2 linked regions of the Oryctolagus cuniculus genome follow. The protein of the gene in region 2 interacts with the protein of the main gene of each other region in a biochemical or structural test. Links are inferred from orthologs where the notes say so. Each region holds a gene or a part of one and is shown on either strand. Other genes may lie near its edges.

The links. The genes of interacting proteins can lie anywhere in the genome.
Region 1: of the proteins of BMP1 (region 2) and CHRD, one has a biochemical effect on the other in vitro, tested with the Homo sapiens proteins (3 studies listed by BioGRID and IntAct). The link is inferred for Oryctolagus cuniculus from reciprocal best matches to the Homo sapiens genes BMP1 and CHRD.

What each region holds. Positions count from the first base shown.
Region 1 is NC_091435.1:93,948,427-93,957,593, reverse strand, and holds the start of CHRD (chordin), read right to left. Parts: upstream 6,443-9,167; 5' UTR 6,321-6,442; coding exon 6,173-6,320; intron 5,932-6,172; coding exon 5,828-5,931; intron 5,434-5,827; coding exon 5,304-5,433; intron 5,198-5,303; coding exon 5,069-5,197; intron 4,982-5,068; coding exon 4,882-4,981; intron 4,793-4,881; coding exon 4,705-4,792; intron 4,385-4,704; coding exon 4,243-4,384; intron 4,140-4,242; coding exon 3,999-4,139; intron 3,917-3,998; coding exon 3,834-3,916; intron 3,758-3,833; coding exon 3,610-3,757; intron 3,484-3,609; coding exon 3,377-3,483; intron 3,256-3,376; coding exon 3,136-3,255; intron 2,575-3,135; coding exon 2,418-2,574; intron 2,100-2,417; coding exon 1,879-2,099; intron 1,481-1,878; coding exon 1,367-1,480; intron 1,048-1,366; coding exon 769-1,047; intron 691-768; coding exon 597-690; intron 475-596; coding exon 418-474; exon of another isoform or gene 405-417; intron 173-404; coding exon 69-172; and 1 more. UniProt on the Homo sapiens protein: Dorsalizing factor. Key developmental protein that dorsalizes early vertebrate embryonic tissues by binding to ventralizing TGF-beta family bone morphogenetic proteins (BMPs) and sequestering them in latent complexes.
Region 2 is NC_091439.1:1,111,725-1,122,051, forward strand, and holds part of BMP1 (bone morphogenetic protein 1), read right to left. Parts: intron 10,319-10,327; coding exon 10,123-10,318; intron 8,985-10,122; coding exon 8,859-8,984; intron 8,344-8,858; coding exon 8,183-8,343; intron 7,921-8,182; coding exon 7,740-7,920; intron 5,066-7,739; exon of another isoform or gene 4,385-5,065; coding exon 4,259-4,384; intron 418-4,258; coding exon 290-417; intron 54-289; coding exon 1-53. UniProt on the Homo sapiens protein: Metalloprotease that plays key roles in regulating the formation of the extracellular matrix (ECM) via processing of various precursor proteins into mature functional enzymes or structural proteins.

The DNA.
Region 1 (9,167 bases), on a different chromosome or scaffold from region 2:
GGCAGCCCCCTCCCCATCTCTGCAGAGCCGGCTGGGTTATGGCACCAGAAAAGCTTGGGTGGCCATACCTTGCAGGTGCAGACAGCACACTTAATTAAGCCAAAGGGGGGCACGACGGGGTGCCACCGGGTACCCGCTGCCCGCCAGCTCCGGTCACCATCAAAATAGCAGCCTGGAGGGTTGGGAGGGGGACAGTGCCCAGATGCCATTAGTCCTGAGCTCATCAGCTGGGTCCACAAACAAGACCTGAGCCTCAGGCACCCACGCCAGCCTAACCCCAGGGCCTACCCTACCCATGGATCAGTAACACTGATGAGGCTTGCAGGTGTCAGCCCCACCCCTTAACTGTCCCCGTCCTGCTCCAATCCAGTGGCTCCTCTGGCTCCTCCCACTCCTGCACGCACCCTTCCAGCTCACCCTCTCCCGGGTCCCGGCTCCTAGGCAGCCCTGGCAGCTCTCTGACATCTTGTTTCTCTGTGGAGCCACAGAAATGGTGAAGGCAGAGAGTGACCCCACCGGTCCAGTCCTCCCTCGAAGGCCCATCCCCCACCAGGCTGATGCCTCTACTACCCTCTCCTTTCCTGCAGGAAACTCACCCGGGCACACGGGGCAGCACTGGTCCAGCACCTGTACCGGCTGGGAGCAGCTGGGTGGTGGGCACACTACAGGGTCACAGATCACTGTCCGTCTCTGCACAGAGAGGCAGGGGCTTGAGGGGGTCCCTTGCCCTAGACACTGGGACCCAGTTTACCTTGTAGGGCCTCCTACCTGGCAGGTGCAGAGGGAGCAGAGCGGGTCATAGTTGGGCGCCCAGCGTGCCCCATGAGGACGCTGCTGCCCCTCGAAGAAGCACATGTTGGGGTCTCGGGGCCGCACAGGACCACCAGATTTGGCGGGTGCTGGGACCTCAGGACCAGACACAGGGGGTGGTGCTGGCAATGCAGCTGCCACTGCCGCTGCATCCGGAGCCCCAGGTGTCTGCACACCCTCGGCCCCGGCTGCAGCCAGACGCAGGCCACCCACCTCGCAGTGATTGGCGATGTGTACCTGGGAGGAGAGGCCTACTGAGGTAGCGCAGGGCCCCCGCCCCTTGAGTCTCCACCAGTGGCAGCCAGACAGCCCCCAGGCCATACCCCTGCCCCCAAAACCCCATGGTGCCCTGGGAGGGTGTATTTAGCCACAGAGATCTATCCAGCCACCAGGGACAGGGCTGTGGGCTGCAGTCCGCCCATGGACCTTCTCTGGCATGGTCCTTCCCACAGCCAGGGAGGCTGATACCCCCACCCCCAGGGTTTAGAGGCAGCAAGCCACCGCTGCCAGGACCCAGCCACATGCCAGCCACATGTCATCCCCACAGAACTCCTACCTGCCCCCGAAGCTCCCCTCGGGGACTCCCCTTGGTGGAGATCAACAGGGAGGCAGTGCCCTGAGCCAGGTGCCGCAGCAGCTCAGGCTCCAGGTCCTTTACCACGCCCTGGGCCTGCAGAGGGAGGGATGGAACAAGATACGGAAGGGCCCGCCTCCTGTTCCCCTACGACCACCACCATTAGCAAGTGAAGAAACAGCCCAGGGAGATTAAATAAGCTCTCCCTAGGGTGGCCAAGCCCCTCCAGACTGAGTGGGGCTCTGAGGTCCAAGTCCAGAGCAACGCCTCCCACAGAATAGCACATAGTACCCAAGGAAGCCGCAGGAGGAGGGCATAGAAAGGAGAGTGGATAAGCAGAGGCAGAGGCAGGTCCATACCCAGGTCTGTCTGATTGCTGAGCCCATGCCAGCTCCGCAATCCCAGGCTGCCCCGCTCTCTGCTTCCCCCACCACAGGCCCTTCAAGCTCAAAATCAGAAATTTTCCAAGCCTCATGCTACCATCACGTCCTCACCTCTGGGCCGTAGAATCCCTTCAGCAGCCGCCGGGGTCCTGGCATCCCAGGAGGCCCGAGGAGGTGGGCAGTGACGGTGCCCTGCTCTGAGCCACCAAGCCCAGCCAGCAGCACTTCATAGTGCAGGTGACAGTGGGCATCCAGGGAGAGCCAGGCATGCCCAGCTGCCTGGCTCTGCACAGGGGGCAACACCAGGGCTCCTGCCAGGGGCACAGGCAGTGCTGGGTCCAGACAGAGAAGTGACAGATGAGAAGGCGGCCCAGAGAAGCCCCTCGGTCCCAGCACACCCCATCTCCCCCAACACAGACTCCATGAGCTGGAAGGCGCCGTCCACAGGCCCAGGGCCTGGGAAGCAGCAAGTCTTAGACCCTGCACCAGGCAACAAGCAGTCTGCCGGAGTCCCCACCTTCTCCAGAGGCCAAGCCGGAGCTCAGGCACAAAGAAACACGCACCAGGTCTGACCTCTGCCACCATCTCTCACATGCTTGAGTCACAGGTCAGAGGACGTCAAAGAGCAGGCAGACCCCCGGGGCACTCACTCTCATGGCGGGCGCTGTGTCCACTGTAGGGCAAGGTAGCCACGTGCCCCCGCAGCTCGCCGTCCGGGAAGTCCTTGGTGCCCACGTTCAGGAACAGCTCGTTCTGCAGCAGCATGTGCGCCCCTCGGGCACCCAGCCCAGGGCAGACACCCGCAGTCTGGGAGGTTGGGGGATGGGGAAGGATGAGGCCCCTCAGCTTTTCCATCAGCCCAAGGTTCTGCAGCCTTCGCTACACCCATGCACGCTTTCACACCCCAGGAATGCGGGACCAGAACCTCGCAGGCCCGCCTTCCAGCGCCTCCTAGATATGTAACAGCCTTGAAGAGTTTCAGCTCTCTGAGCCTTCCCTCCCTCAGCTATGAAACGGGTACTGTGAAGGCCAGAAACATAGGAAAGGCCACCAGGACAGCAGCTGGCACGTGGAAGGACCCAAGCGGAAGCAGCCAGTGCCCTCGCACTCAGCATGACCTGGGCGACTGCACTACTCTCCTGTCTACTTTCTCCCACTCGAGGGTGAGCTCACTGAGGACAGGGCCACATCTGATTTTCCATGCACTCCAGCCCCTAGTCTAGAGCTCACTAAAAATGTGTCAGATGAACAAATGAATCAGGGAGAGAAGCCCTGAGCGAGTGAAGGAGACTGAACATCCCTGCTCATGCAACCTAGCCTCCCCCAGCCCACACTGGCATCCCTGCACATGGGCCCTGGGGCCCTCACCATATGTCCCCCTGTGCGGAGCACAGCCATGTGGCACAGCACAGTGCGCTGGTTCCTTCGCTGAGGCTTGGTCTCCAGTGTCATGGCCACCACCTCACTGCTTGTACCTACAACCTGCACCTGATGGGCAGGGTTGGAGGAAGGCAAATTAAGTAGAGTGACGCTGAAAGCCCAGGACCTGAACCATCGCAGGTCCAGGCCCTTCCCTGCTACCCTCCTCTCCCCCTACAGCCCCTCTTACCTGATAGATCAGAGAGCCATTTCCTAGCAGTGTGAGGCTGGCTGAGCCAGCAGCCCCAGTCTGGACAGGAGTCAGGGCATCAGCTCCACAAAGGACACTTTGCAGGACTGCAAGACAGGTTGTAGCAGGGCTGCTGCACCGTCACTCATAGCCCTGGCCCCCAGGATCTTTCCCACATCCATCCTGGTCCCTTCCCTGGCACGTCTGCGGGTGCTAGCCCCACCCTGCCTCACCATCGCAGCTCTGCCTGGCAGCAATGTGCCCACTGATGCGCAGCTCCGGCCCAGCTGTCCTCGCCAGAGCCATCTGCAGCTCTCCCTGCACTAGCCAGTCCATCTCCTGTGCTGTCAGGTCGGGCAGCACCTCGGCGAAGCCCGGCTCCTGGGGACAGAGCAGGGCGCGGTGGGCACCAGCAAGAAGCCAGAGCTGGCAGCAGCCGAGGCACAACCTCACATACCTGGGCTGAGCCATTGGCCTGGAGCTCTCGCAGCAGCTGCCCCTGGTGTAGAATCTGGAGCCTCAAGGGAACCCGGGACGGCCCTGCAACAGTCGCACGTGTGGCCCTTCCTCTGGGAAAGGTGCTCCCCTCCTCTGCTCCCTCTCTCCTCCCCAGCCCGCTTACCCCCATTCCTGGGGTCCAGCAGCCCCCTGAAGAGCAGCAAAAAATGCAAGGAGTCTTCTGTGTCGCTGAGCGTCAGCAGAGTGACTCCCCCTACACCCGGCTGCTGGGGGCCCTCCAAAGTCAGGATGGCGCTGAAGGTCTCTGCGGGAGCGAGGGCCATGAGAGGCCACCAGAAAATCCTCCCCTCGGCCCACCCACCTTGGGACTCAGACTTGCACACCCAGGGGCCATTGGCTCCCCTTACCTGCAGCCAGGGCCCGGTGCCGGATCAGAGGCCCCCAGACCTCCCCTGAAGGGTGAGTGGGTGTCACGAGTGCCACATGCAACTGTTCTGCCCTGAGGAGCCGCAGAGACAACCGAGGCACTGCCCGCCACACCCCACAGACCTGGAGCATCGAGACAAGAGGCCCTGCGCTCAGGACGCACACAGGCCAGCCCCAAGGCCCCGGCCTGGAGAGGAAGGTCTGTGGAGAGGAGCCCCCAGAGCCCCCCTAAGAAGCTTAGGAAGGGGCCCAGGAACCTGATGCTGGGGTTCAGGTCCTGGCTCTACCACTCCCTAACTGCGTGACCTTGAACAAATCCCTCGTCTATAAAATGGGCATCTTTCTCGCTCTGGGCTCTCGCGGAGACCAGAGGAGGCAGCAGGGCACGCGCTCTCAGCACAGCACCCAGACCAGGCAAGCACTCATGAGTGGTATCATCTCACCAGGCCGTCCTGAGTGGGGGCTGCGGGGTGTTCAAACAGGACGCTGCCAGTGGGGTCAGAGAAGCGCACCCTGGTGGGCCGGTCCAGTCTGGAGAGGAGAGGGCAGGTGAGCCGGGTGGCCCAGCCCCCCCACCTCCTGTTCTCCTTCATCTCCTCCTCCCCACCCCCTCCCCTCACCGCCGGTAGGAGATGGAGAAACGCAGGCTGGAGCGCAGCAGTGAGACCCGGGCACGTGCCACCGCCTGCGACCTCGTCCCTGTCAGCAGCGCCACAAAGTCTGCACCGGGAGGAAAGATGGACTGAGCACTGTCAGCTGCCGCTGGCGATACGGCCTCCTCACGACCCTACCCCGGGCCCCGCCTACCAGTGTGGCCTTCACCGCGCGCCCGATCCTCCGAGCCCGGTTCCCCGCGGTCGCTGTAACTGCGGTGTTCGGGGTCCCGCGGATACTCAAAGGACAGGCCCGGTGGCTGCCGCTCAGCACCGCTGCGTTCTGTGCCAGGGTTAAGGGACACCGCCTTCAGCGCGCGCTGGGCGAGCTGCCCCGAAACAAGTGGCCCAGGACCTGGGATCGCTGCCGCCTGCGGAGCAGGCCTTACCCTGGGGGCAGGTCTGGCAGCAGTGTCCCGGTAGCTGCCTCGGCTGCCCGCAGGCCAGGGCTGGGCACTCGGGCTTGATGTTCTTGCAGCTGACTCTGCCAGGGCCCCTGGCACGGCGAGCCCACTGAGGCTGCTCGGGGAGAAAACGGGACAAGCAAGTCAGTTCTCGATGACCAAGGGGAGCGAGCCGGCGCAGCGCGGCAAGGACGGCGCGCACTTCCAGGCTGCGTGGCCCTACGCAAGTTACCTAACCTCTCTGGGCCTTGCCTTCCCCATCTGGGAAAAGAACTGGATCCCTCTAGCAGAGTTTTAAGTTAAGTGACAGGGGAGACGCGGCCGGCGCAGAGCCGCGCGCATGGCGGGTGATCAATGAGTCAACACCTGAGACCCGCAGGGCGGGCGGCCAGGACAACACCCCCAAACGCTCGGGTGTGCGGACCAGCTCCGAATCCACGCCGCCGGCTCGGGAGCCCAGCGCTTCCCAACCCGTGAGGGCCCGGGCCGCGGCCGCCGCGTCCACTCACCGCCTCGCAGGCGCACAGCACGCAGCGCATCACCCCGAAGGGCTCCCCCAGGTCCGGGTGCCACGTCTCGTCCAAGGCATAGACCTTCCCGCCGAACGAGCAGCCTGCAGGGACGGGCTTGGCTGGCGGCCGCTGCCCAGCTCGTGCCGGGTGCCCGCCCCGGGCGCTGCCCGCCGGGCCCCGGGGGGCCCCTGGCACCGCGCGCCCCGCAGCCCCCGCCCGCCCCTCCGGGCCGCCCGCCGTGCGAGCCACCTGCGCCCCGCCGGCCCCTCCGGGCGGGCGCGGACTTGCCCGGAGCCGACTCCCCGCCCGCGTCTACCCCCCCACCTCCGGGCGCCCACCTACCTGCCGCTCCCCGAACGGGCAGCGGCTCCTTCTCGGGACGGATGGGCAGCGCGGGGGGCTCGGGGCCGGCGCCGCGGGCCGGCTGGGGGCCGAGCAGCAGCAGCCCGAGGAGCAGCAGCGGGGCCGGCGGGGCCGGGAGGCTCGGCATGACGCGAACGGGACAGCTGGGGAGGCGGGAGGGAGGAGGGCGCGGGCGCGGGAGGAGGGAGGAGGGCCGGGCCGGGGGCGGTGCGGCGGGAGGGGGCCGGGGCCAGGGCCGGGGCAGTGCGGCGAGGGGCTCGTCGGGCGGCCGCGGAGTCGGCGCCGGGCCGGGAGGGGCGGGCGGAGCGGCCGGGAAGAGCGCGGCCGGGCGGGCGCTGACCCGGGCCGTATGTGGCTTCGAGTGCCCCGGGCGCCGGCTCCGGCCCGTTTTATGCCCCGCGCCCGACGCCCCGGCCGGGGGCCTCCTCCTCAGCAAACGGGGCGGCGGCGGCGGCTCGGCGAGGGGCCGGGCTGAGCCCGGGGGGTCCGGCCCAGCGGCAGCGGCCCGGATCGCGAGTGGGGGAGGGGAGGGAGGGGCTGGGACCGGGCAGGGGAGGAGGGAGGGGCTGGAGGGGAAGGGGGAGCGGAGGGGGGAGGGGGAGGGGAAGGACCTGGGGGCGCGTAGAGGGGGAGGAGAGGCGGGCCTGCAGCCCCCCGCTGCTGGCGGCCACAGGATGGCCGGACCCCGAGGTGTCCATGTCAGGCCCAGGTCGGGAGTCTCCGGCTAGGCAGGGGCGGGTGCTGGGCCTGAGGCCCCGAGGGTCCCAGGGTGAGGACCCTGCTCCTACCCAAGGATGAAGACTTTCCTTTCAGGATGACAAGGAGCGGGAGAGGTCCATCCGCGGATGTCCCCTGGAGCCCGGCCCACAGCACCACCCTCTCTCTCACTGCCCCCAGGTGTCTTCTCATTGCAGTGCTCCCAAGACAGGCAGGGTGCTCCTTCTGTCCAGTGACAGCGTCTCCCAGGTGGACCCGGCCATCATCTCTTGCCCTCTCCTGCGGGCCCCTCTGCCTCTCCAGCCTACTCCCCAAACGCCCTTTCCTGGTAGTGGCTGCCCCCCCATGCCCTCCCACCCCCACACACCCACCATCCCCGCAGCCGTCCCAGCACCCTCCTTCCTAATCTCAGGAGGAATCTCTTCTGGCTGAACTAGAGAATTCCGGGATCTAGGCCATGCTCCCTCGCAGGCAGCCCCATCCTGGGGAGGAAGACAGGAGAAAGCCTGGGGAGGAACCTGTGCGGGCAGGGGGTGTGCCGGGAACAAGGTCAGGCCAGGAGGCCCCTGAGGACAGGGGCTATGGGGAGACCAGGACTGAGGGGAAAGCAAAGGAACAGAGCCATGGCCAAAGGCAGAGGGGCCAGCAGGGAGGTATTTGCAGGGGAGGCCCAGCAGCTGTCTTTCTAAGACAGGGACACATGGGCCTGGTTATTCCTCTTGTCACATGTGGAATGACAGGAGATGGAAGAGGGAGAAAGGCAGGGCACGGGCACCAAGATAAGTGGACCTGAGCCGGGCTCAACCCAGCACCCGCTACTCGTGTTCCCATCCCCTCAGCTGGCCAAAGCCCTCTGCCAGAAAATGACCCATAAGAGGACCCCTGTAGCACAGGCCATACCCAGATCCCCACCTGGAAAGGGAGAGTGACAAGACGGGACTCCCTAGGGGGTTATAGGAAAGTGGGAAGGCAAGAGCCGATTGGATTTCAGCAGCAGGTGTGGTGTGCAGGGAAAAGAAATGTAGATAGCCAGGACTGAAAACCCACCAGTCTGAAGCAAGACCTCTGTGCCGCTTCCTCCAGGACACAGGTGTCCTGCCAGATCCTCCTCCCCCCACCCCCCCACCCCCAACAACAACAACAACAAAAACCCTCTGCTCCTTTCCCACCTCTGCCCGTTGTCAGGTCCCAGACTTCCCATCTCCTAGGAGAAGACAGAGTCCCCTATCCAAATCCTCCTGTGGTGTGTGTGGGTGGAGGAGCTGGGCTCCACTAGTGGACCATGGTCCAGGCAGGGGCTCCGGGTCCAGCGCGGCTGGGAGGAGAAGGCGTCACTTCCGGGGGCCTTTGCCAGTGTCCAGTGGCTCCCTGCTCTCTGATTGGGCAGAAGTGGCCAGAGCAGGCGTGTGACCCCACTGCCGTGGAGAGGCTGTGCCCCAACGCCACAAGTCTTCCTACCCATCGGCTCCCCAGAGCACTGCCTGCTGTGCACCTGGGTCCTTGAGCCCTTCTCCACCTGGTGAGTGACAAGCAGGGTTTGGGGTTAGGTGAGCGTAGGAAGGACAGGAAAGAGGAACTGGGCTTGCAGCTGGGGGAGGGGCAGGCAAACTGGAACCTACAGGCACTGACCTTTGTCGAGAAGAGTGGAGCCTTCCCAGAATGGGAGGAGCAGGACAGAGCAGGGGTAGGGGGTGGGGTACTGGGTTCCGAGGGACTAATCACAGACATAGTAGAACACAGCACAGTCCTGGCTGACCCTAGAGAACAGGGACCTGGGCCTGGGGAGAATGTAAGACAGGAAGTGCATTTAGGGCCTGGGGAGCATGGTACCAAGATGGACAGAGCCCCAGTCTCCCTTCCTTCCTGGCATTCCTTACTGGCTTAAAGTTTTGAATCCTGGAGCCAGGGAAGCTGACTCGGGCCAGCCAGGGCACAAGAAGAGAGGAATGGGAGGAGGGCTGGTGCATGTTGACAGACCTACAGGAAATCCCAATATTGAATCAGGTGCTGGCCTCTTTGCACAACTTGTGAAAGGAGGAGGAAGCCTTGTGGGGGGTCCTATAGAGAAACCAGAAAGGGTCTGCAGAGGGGGCGGGGAGGCAGGTGCAGGCTATGGGACAGATATGTTGGCAGGTGTGTAAGGTGACGATGGAAGGTGGACCTAGCCTTGCTCAGCGGATGCCCGTTCCCGGGCTGCTTGCCCCAGGAAGGAAGTCCCCAGGACTGTTAGCCCATCTCTGGGCCACAGATAACAGGG
Region 2 (10,327 bases):
AGGTGGTCGTAGGCGCATTCGGGCTGGGACTCGATGTCCATCTCCACGAAGGTCTGCAGGGCGCGAGGGGCAGGCAGCTTAAACACGCGGCTGGGAACAGGGGCGGGGGCCCAGGTGGTCCCAGGAACGGGCAGTGCTGGGAGAGGAGGCTGTGCCCAGGCAGCAGCTGGGTGCCGGGTCCCGGGGCTCAGCCCAGCCCCCCGCCCCCAGGCTGCAGGGGCTCTGGAGGTGGCACCCACAGGACGTGGAGGAGCAGGGGTGCCCATGCAGCTGGGGGCCGGGCACCTACCAGCTTGACCCGGTGCCCGGGGGTGCTGGAGATGGCCCAGGTACACTCCTTCTTGCTGGGGTACTTGTCGGGCCAGTTGGGGCTGGTGAGGGTGCCGCTGGTGGACGTCACCTTGTGGTCACAGCCAGCTGTGGGGAAGTGAGTGATGGCACCTCCTGCAAGAGAGGCCCTTACCCACCCCGCCCCCACTTCCCCCATGTCTCCTGTCTTGTTCCCCTGCAGGCCTGCGGGAACACTAGCTGGCTGCTGCCTGCCGCAGCCCTCAGTGTGACCCCGCGGTGCTCCCCCGGGGCCACCCCTGCCCCCTCCTTGCACCTGTCACCGCCAGCATCACAAGGACTTTGGCACCTGACTCAATCCTCCCCACGCCCGCTGCCATGAAACCCTGGGTGATGTCAACCACAGCAATGGCCGCCCCCACCCCAGGCTTCGGCACAGGGCACCGCCCGCTCCGCAGCCGCTTCCGGTTCCTCCAGGGAGCTGATCCTTCACTCAGTATGGCTGGCCCTTGGCGTCCACAGGGGAACGAATGTTCCCAGGACCCACGGCAGACAGCAAGGTCTGCAGGTGCTCAAGCTGCTTACATAAACGGGCATGGATTTTGCACAGAACCCACGCTCATCTTCCTGTGCGCTTTTTTAAATTAATTTATTCATGAGAGGCAAAGACACAGAGGGAGACAGACCAAGAGCTTCCATTTGCTGGTTTATTCCCCAAATGCCTGTAAGGGCCAGGGCTGGGGCAAGTCACAGCTGGCTGCCCAGAGCGTGCGTTAGCAGGAAGCTGGAACCAGCAGCAGAGCTGGGCCCTTGAACTCGGTGTCCCAAGAGGCATCTTAACCAGACACCTGCCCCCCGTGGCACATTGTACATCCCAATGCAACGTAAGTGCCACCTACAAAGTGCCACAATATACTGGTCAGGGGACAACGGCTACAGCAGAAGTCCCAGTGCTCAGGACAGCTAGGGTGGGCTGACCCCACGGATGGAGAAGGCACAGGTGCGAGGGCGGACTGGGTTAACCTCAGCCACCCTCCTCTGCAGCTGGAGGCAGGGCCGAGCACCCACACTCCTCGCCAGCACCCTCAGCGATGGCAGTCCCCAGCCTGTCCCCTGGGAAGTGTGGTTTGGGGCAGCTATTAGGCCATTGCTTGGGATGCCCACGTGCCGTATCTGAGTGTCCAGGTTTGAGTCTCGCCCCCACTTTCCACTCTGAGCACCCTGGGAGGCAGCAGGTGACAGCTCAAGTAGATGAGTCCCGCCCTCCATGTGGGAGGCCCAGATGGAGCTCCAGGCTCCTGGCTTTGGTTTGGCCCAGCCCTGGCTGTGGCAGGCATTTTTTTTATTTTTTAAGATTTATTTGAGTGGTCAGCGCTGTGCCACAGTGGGTTAAAGCCCTGACCTACAGCACCAATATCCTATATGGGCACTGGTTAGAGTCCCAGCTGCTCTACTTCTGATCCAGCTCCCTGCTAATGTGTCTGGGAAAGCAGCAGAAGATGGTCCAAGTCCTTGGGCCCCTGCACCAGCGTAGGAGACCTAGAAGAAGCTCCTGGCTCCTGGCTCCAGATCGGCACAGCTCTGGCCGTTGAGGCCATTTGGGAAGTGACCAGTGGATGGAAACCCCCCCCCCCCCGTCTCTACTTCTCCCTATAACTGTCTTTCAAATAAATAAAATAAATCTTTCAAAAAAGGAGATTTGAAAGGCAGAGTTAGAGAGAGAGAGAGAGAAAGGGAGACTGGTTCATTCCCCATATGGCTTCAATGACTGGAGCTGAGCCAGGCTAAAGACAGGGGCCAGGAGCTTCATCTGGGTCTCCCATGTGAGTTGCAGGGGCCCAACTATTTGGGTCATCTTCCGCTGCTTTCCCAGGCACATTAACAGGAGCTAGCACAGAAGCAGAGCAGCTGGGACTCGAACCAGCATCCACATGGGATGGTGGTGTCATAGGCAGCGGCTTAACCCACTGTGCCACAACACAGTTCCTGCTGCAGGCATTTGGGGAATGAATCAGTGGATGAAGATCTCTCTGTCTCTCCCTGTCTCTCTGTCTCACTCTCCCCCTCTCTCCCTTTCTCTCTGTTGCTTTGCTTTTCAAATACATAAACATTAAAAAAAATAATAATAACGCGCATCCCAAACAGCTTGAAAACAGATACCGATCACCAAGGGCCGTGTGCTCCACGTGGAAAAGTGGGCAGCCAGGGCCCTGCTGGGCGGAGGAGGAGAAAGGGACGGGCAGGGCGCAGGCTGCACGGCCAGGCCCACGGCCAGGGGCTCACCGAATGCACGTACAGCTACGAGGGCCAGGCCGGCACAGCCCTTCAGGCTGCAGGCCAAGCTGCTGTCTCTGCCCATCGGAGCCTCCACGGCTTCATGCGGCCACGCCACCCTCCCCACGTGGCCGCCGCCCATCCCTGCCTCTGTCTCCCAGCACCTCTGCGTCTCTCGCCAGCTAGACTGTGAGCTCCCTGGAACACAGGGTCTCCTTTCTGGAGCTCCTGCACCCAAGGGAGCGATCGTGCGTGCTTCCAAGTGAGGCAGGAGGCCGGATGGGTAGATGGGCATCTTCCCACGGCTGTTTGTCCTTGGAGGTCTCCTCCCCACCGGGAGCGGACAGAGCAGACAGCACCAGAACACAACCCCCTCCAGCTAAGAGGTGGGGGCCCTGGGAGTCAGCGAGACTTGAGGGGGGCTGCGTGGGAAGCCCACGCAGCGGGCCAGGGCTGTAGCAGGTGGCGTCAGGGATGGTGTGGGATGGCATGGGAGCATCCGTGGCCCAAGATGCTGGCAGCACGAGTGTTTTGGGTTCTTCCAGGTTTGGGGCAATGTGCGTAGACGCGGTGAGGTATCTCAGGGTGCGACCCGAATCGGAACACGGAATCCATTTACACGTCACACAGAGCCTCTGCGCGGGGCCGCCAGGTGGTTTTACCCGGCCTTTCCACGTAGCTGCCTTTTCTCCGTGAGCTGTCACCGCGGTCACGTGTGGAGTTTGCCACCTGTGAAGTTCTGGATTCTTGGGGTGGGGCTGCGGGGCTCCGGGGTCAGGAGTGGGACCCAGCATGACAACAGGCCCAGGGGCACTTGCTGCCAGGTTAAAGGGCCCCGGCACTCCTCGGACAGAGGGCTTCTTTTTCCCTAAGTTCACACAGAAGCACCCGGGGCACTAAGAAGGTAACAGCCACTCAAGGGCACACAGCTCGCCAAACACAGGGCTGGAACAGGCGCCCTGGCTCTCGTGTCTGTGCCCTCAACCAGTATCCCATCCCCTCCCTCTTGGGCTCTGAGCCACTGTCCTGTCCATCGTGCTGGAGGGAGGCCGTTAGAAAGAGAAACACTCGGGGGCTGGCGTTGTGGCACAGCAGGTTAAGCCGACACATACCAGGGCATGGCTTTAAGTCCCGATGCTCCGCTTCCGATCCAGCTCCCTGCTAATGCACCTGGGATAGCAGTGGAAGATGGCCCAAGTGCTTGGGCCCCTGCACCCATGTGGGAGACCCAGATGGAGTTCTGGGCTTCTGGCTTCCCCCTGGTCATGGTGACCATTTGAGGAGTGCATCAGCAGATGAAAGACCTGTGTGTGTGTGTGTGTGTGTGTGTGTGTCTCCCTCTGGCTATCATTCTGTCTTTCAAACAAATAAATACATCTTTAATTAAAAAAGAAAGAAAGAAAAACACTTAGATGCGGGTCTTAGAAAGCCCTAACGACTGTTAAGAGCTGGCAAGATGGAGCCCCGGTCCGTCTGTCCCCTGCGGGCAGAGACCAGAGCTTGGACGCTGGGGAAGGTGGAGGGAGTCCCTGCGCCACATGTGGGAGGCACAAGGTGACCCCCACGGTTGCTCGGGTCCGGGAGCCTGAACTGAGGCTGATGGAGAAGGCACCGCTGGCCGTCCGGACGCTCCCCAGCGCGGGGCCGCCCGGGGCAGACGCCGCACCGCCAGCCTGGGTCTCGGCACAGTCCCTACCTTCCTTGCAGTCGTGTTTGTTGTCGTGGAGGACGAAGCCGCTGCGACACTGGCACTCGTAGCTGCCGAACGTGTTGACGCAGTCCTGCTGGCAGCCGCCGTTGTCCTTGGAGCACTCGTCCTTGTCTGCAAGGGGAGCACACGGGCGGCTGGGTCTGTGCAGGGCCCAGGGCTGCCTGCTCCCGGGGCACGCGGCCGGGCTGCCTCCCTCCAGGAGACAGACAGCTGGGCAGGGGTGGGGGGGGGGGGCAAGGCGCCGATGGGGGAGGGGGGTGGAGAGTTGGGGTGGGGGGTCCCGGGCACTGCATCGAGCGGAGCCAGCTGAGGGGGCCCAGCTGTGGGAAAGAGAGCAGAAGTGGGCTGGAGGCGGGGTGAAGGGTCGGAGCTGACCGCCGGGGGCACCCTCTACCATTACCTGCTTACTGGACAGACGGACAAGTGGAAAAACAGACACACGGACAAGCAGACTGCAAGAGAAAGGAGCAGGACGCGGGGGTCCCTCTTTTACTTCACAACGGGAAATGTCACAGACACCATCAAAATGGGGGGAGGGGTGGGGGTGGGGTCCCCCTGTGGCTGTGAGGGACCAGGAGGAGAGGAGAGCACCAGTTCTGTGCGGCCGGAGGCGGCGGCCGGGGGCGGGGGGCGCCGCAGCCCCCAGCCCATTCGTCCGAGGTGAGGTTCCTGAGTAACACGTAGGGTCTGGGAGGCCTGGCCGGCCTCACTGGGGGGTCCGGTTTCTTTTCTGCACTCGGAATTTGAGCTGGTGGGGGCGTCCCCGGGGGGGCTGCAGAGCTGGCCTCTTTTCTGAAATGAGAGAGAGAAGGAGAAAAGGGACCGAGGGGTGGGGGTGGAGGGCGGGGGCCCAGGGGAGGGACAGCAGTGGAGACCAGGCCCGGGGCCACGGGGCGGAGCGGGGAGGCAGGCAGGGCACGCATGCGGGCAGCCATGCCCGGCGCAGCCAGGTCACGGAGGGCTGGGTTAGCAAGGGGCAGGGGAAAGAGGCGCAGCAACAGGGGACAGGAGACAGCCTGTGGCAGGGAGAAGGCCTGGGGGGCACGCAGGACCGAGGCGCGCACTCGGGAGGAGAGGAACCAGGAGTGGTGGGCAGGGGGCTCGTGGGAGCTGCACCCCCAACGGCAATCCACACCCGTGGGCCAGCACTGCAACATGGCCGCTCACTGTGCACATGGGTGCAGATACCAGGACCCAGACAGACGCACACGCGTCACCCGCCCACCTGGAGACACACGCCGCTGCCGGCTCCCACGGCCAAGGGCCCTTCCAAAGCCCGTGGAAAGATGTGATTAAAAGATAAAGCGATCTGAGGCGAGACAGGATGGAAATGCACCCGTGGATTTTTCAGAGTGCCCACTTTCCACGAAGTTTCCAAAGAGCCCTCGCCCATGTGAGGAAGCGTGCGCGCGCGCACACACACCCGTGCACTGACACACAGGATTGCACGTGGTGCGGTGTGTGTAGGCCTCGGCCATGTAGCCTCAGGTTTGTCTGTGGGCACTGGGGGGCCGTGTGATGGTCCACGGGCGAACCCCAAGGGAGAAAGCCACCCGATGGCAGCCAGCCGGCCGGCCGGTGGCAAAGACCTCCTGGGCCCCATCAGAGAGGCCCTCGGGCTGCAGCATCAGCTCCCAGAAGGCTCTGTTTCTCTAAAGCAGATGGGCCAGACCCCTGGGGACGCACAGGGGTCCCTTCCCAAGGGCTCCTGCTCAGGAGGCTCATCAGAGGGGAGGGAGCGAGGGCTGCCTTTGCACTAACCCTGCAGGGATGTAGGGGTCAGGGGCACCGCAGACATCCCTGTGTGCTCTGCAGTAAGGGGCCCAGCAAAGACTCCCCGGGCCTGTTTCCACTCCTTTTCCTCCTAGTTGTACCCTGAATACCTAGGACTGTGCCTGGCACACAGCAGGGGTAAAATAAGCGCTCACAAATGGCCGAGTGAATGGGTGTGTCCTTGGCTGAGTGACAAGTGGGGGCGGCCAGGTCAGCGTCCTCGGGGGGCAGGGGACTCTGGCACAGGTTGGGAGCAGTGGGCAGCCTCACCTCGGAGCCCAGGGGGCAGCTTGTGGGAGGGGCAAGGGCACAGAGGGGGCGGGCGCGGGCCTGGACGAGGAGATGGCACTCACCCTACAGTGCCCACATGCCCCGGAGGGTGGCGGGGGTCCCACTGAAGGTCTCCGGCTCTTTCTTCTCCTTCTTGCCTTAGGGTCTCCTTGATGGGTGTCCCAAGTGTCCAAAAGGCCCCCTTCTGGGGGAGGGGGCCACAGACAGAGGCCCCACGCCCTGGGGGGCTGCACTTGATGCCCACCGGTGAGGGGCCTCGCGACGGGGCAATGCGTGTGCACCCGTGTGTGTGCGTGCTTGCAGGTGTGTGTGAGCATGTGTGTGTGCAGGGCTGAGGGTGGGGTGGCACGGGGTCACGCAGGGGGGCAGGGCAGTGACTAGGCCTGACAGAGGTAAGTGCCAGCCCCCTCCCACCCCACCTCACCCCAAGACTGGAGCAACAGAAGGGCAGGAAGAGACGAGAGTAAGCAGGTAATGGTATCCCCGGGGCAGCCCACCCCCGAGCACCTTGGAGGAGCTGGGCACAGGGCAGGGAGGGACTGGCATTGCGTGGGGGCGGGGGAGGGGTCTTAGCAAGCAGTGGGGCGGGGCGGGATGGCTTTGAGTCAGAAGCTCAATGGGGCACTTTAAGCAGAGCAGGGTGGCTGGCAGTGCCAAGCAGGGAACCCGTGCACAGGGGCAGGTGCATGGCATCCAGGTGGGGCAGGCAGGGGAATGCAGGGCGGCCACATAGGGGCTCGAGGATGCAGGACCCTGGGCGAGGAGGGGGAGAAGGGAGGCAGCGTGGACGCGGCCGTGGCCTCCTGCTTCCTGCCCACCCCATGCCCGGCCCACCAGGCGGGTTGGGGATGAGGACCCCCGGGCGGCTCGTCCACAAAACCACCTTGCCCTGGCCAGCCCTGGGGCCTCCCGCTTTCCCCACCCTCCACCACAGGGCCCCCACACACACCCTGGGTGCCCGCCCACTGCCTCTGAAGACACCGCCCCCGCCCCCTGCAGCTCAGAGAGGCTGAGGCCTCCATTGATTCGGATCCTGCGGGCAGGCCTGGGTGCTGAAAGGTGGAGTCCCAGCACGGCTTGCTCGGGGCCTGATTAGAAGTCTGGCCCCTGCCAGGGAATCTGGCCCACCTCACCGGGGGCAAATATCCTCCTCTTCCCCACCCTCCCGGCACTGGAGCGCTTGGAGGCCTGCCACTCCCTTGAGGGTGCAGAATCTGGGAACTCAGATGCCTGAGGGCCTGGCCCGGGGTATGTGGCGGGGGGGGGGGGGGTGGCAGGGAGCAGGTGCACCAGCTCCACCATCAGGCACCAGATGGGGCTGGGGCGGGGAGGGGGGGGGGGTGGGCAGCGCCAGGGGGAAGACAGCCGTGTGCAGGGCTGGAGCGGGGCAGCCCGGGGTTACCTGAGAAGAACTGGGCCTTGAAGCCCTTTTTGGACACGGTGTTGTCGGACTTGAACTCCACGCGCATGTTGTTGTACTGGGAGGTGATGACCTCAGGCTTCTCGGAGCCACAGAACTTGCCGTGCAGCTTGGAGTCGGCCGTGAGCCCGCTGCGCACCTCCACGAAGTCGTACTTGCACACCTGCCGGGAAGCCCAGCTCCAGGCTGCCTCCTCCAGGAAGCCTCTCCTGACCACCCCACTGGGGGGAAGCTCCCTGGCCTGTGGGCTCTGGAGCCTTTGCCTGCCTACTGCCCCGGATCGGATCTTCCCTCAGGCCTCCCTGCCTCCCTGAATGGGGTGTGGTCCCTCATCCCCACTCTCAGAGTGCACTCGGAGGACAGGAAGTGGGCACGAGCTGGGCTCCCATGCCTCCCGCCCCCTTTCAGCCCCAGTGGGCACTCACGTCGTTGCCCTCGGTCTCAAAGAAGTCGAACTGCAAGGAGATGCGGTACTGGGTGGGTGCCACCAGCTGCCAGATACAGTTCTTGTTCGGGGGGTACTCCTTGGGCCAGCCCGGGCTGGTGATGGAGCCATTGAGCTTGGTGAGGAACCCACCGCAGGCAGCTGGGGGGGGGCCGGGGGGGACATCAGTCACCAGGAGTCCCTACTGCCTACTGCCTACTGCCTACTGCAGGGCAGGGCCGGGCTGGGGTTTGGGTCTGATCCGTCTGGGACGGAAGGGAGTAGGCAGGGTGAGAGTGGGTGTCCGGGGTTGTATAAGCCTGGGTGTTTCTCTGTGGGAAGACCCCACAGGCCAGGGGTCTTCTGAGAGGGAGAAGGGGGAGGCAGGGGCTCCTGGGAGCCCCTGGAGGCTCGGGAGAGGGGGCAGCTCGGAGAACCCGCTGACGCCTTAGCCTGCAGTGTGGTCACCACACTGACATTGCTTTGCAGGTCAAGGTCAGCGTTAAAGCCAAACCCCAAGCCAGCCTGCAGAACACATGGCAAGTGTGCATTCTCGCCGGGGTTCTCCAGGAGCTGGGAGGAGGGCACGGGCAACTCCGGCCAGCTCCCCAAGGCTGGGGACGGCATCAGGACGGTGCGGGCAGGGCTCAGGGGAGAAGGGGGTCGGGCCCGCGCACCCTCACAGCGGCGCTTGTCGGGGGCCAGCTCGTAGCCGGGGTCACAGCTGCACTTGTAGCTGCCCAGGGTGTTCAAGCATCGCTGCTCGCAGCCCCCGCGGTTGGGCCGAGAGCACTCGTCCACCTCTGCGGAGGAAAGAGGCGGGATTAGAGACCCTGCAGGCTGCCGCCGGGCCCTCGTCCAGCCTCTGCCGGAGGGTCAAGTTCACGATCCCCCAGGCTTTGCGTCTACCTTCCAGCGTGGGGGAGTCAGCGGTGAGGCTCACCTCTCCACTCAGCTGTGGACAAACCTGCCTCCCAGCCCCCCGAGGGTGCTAGATACCCCACGATGGGCCCCAGAGCCTCCCTTCTGGGCACATGGACTGGGCTGGCGGCCAGCACCATTTCCTGGCGCCTCTCCTGTGCTGTTCCCCTCACTAAGTAATCTTCCTCCATCGCTCTTTCAGTCCACACACGCAGCCTGTGGGGGAAGGACTGTTACCGCGCCCATTTTACAGATGGAAGACTGATTCAGCCCCTCCCCCAGGGGGTGGCGCTTTCCCCCAGCAGCCCCTCCCCCAGGGGGTGGATCTTCCCCCAGCAGCCCCTCCCCCAGGGGGCGGATCTTTCCCAGCAGCCCCTCCCCCAGGGGTGGATCTTTCCCCAGCAGCCCCTCCCCCAGGGGGCGGATCTTTCCCCAGCAGCCCCTCCCCCAGGGGGTGGATCTTCCCCCAGCAGCCCCTCCCCCAGGGGTGGATCTTTCCCCAGCAGCCCCTCCCCCAGGGGGCGGATCTTTACCCAGCAGCCCCTCCCCCAGGGGTGGATCTTCCCCCAGCAGCCACTCCCCCAGGGGGCGGATCTTTCCCCAGCAGCCCCTCCCCCGGGGGTGGATCTTTCCCCAGCAGCCCCTCCCCCAGGGACGGATCTTTCCCCAGCAGCCCCTCCCCCAGGGGGCGGATCTTTCCCCAGCAGCCCCTCCCCCGGGGGTGGATCTTTCCCCAGCAGCCCCTCCCCCAGGGACGGATCTTTCCCCAGCAGCCCCTCCCCCAGGGGTGGATCTTCCCCCAGAAGCCCCTCCCCCAGGGGTGGATCTTTCCCCCAGTAGCCCCTCCCCCAGGGGGGTGGATCTTCCCCCCAGCAGCCCCTCCCCCGGGGGTGGACCCTCCCCTCAGCAGCTCCTCACACACCTGCGTCCCTCCCACAGTCTGCGCTGGCCCCAGTAAAGGAACACAGGCGACGGACTGGCCGCGGGGATGGCAGGACGCGGCAGCAGGGAAGCCCGCACCTTTGAAAAAGTTGACAGCGAAGCCGGCTTTGTTGATGGAGCCGTCGGAGACGAACTTGAGCCAGAGGCGGCTGGAGGTGCTCTTGATGTCGTCGGGCTTCTCGTAGCCGCAGTAGCGCCCGATGAGGGCGCTGCTCTCGCTGTGCCCGTCGCGCACCTCCAGGTAGTCGTAGGCACAGCTGTCATGGCGCTCGATCTGGGCGGG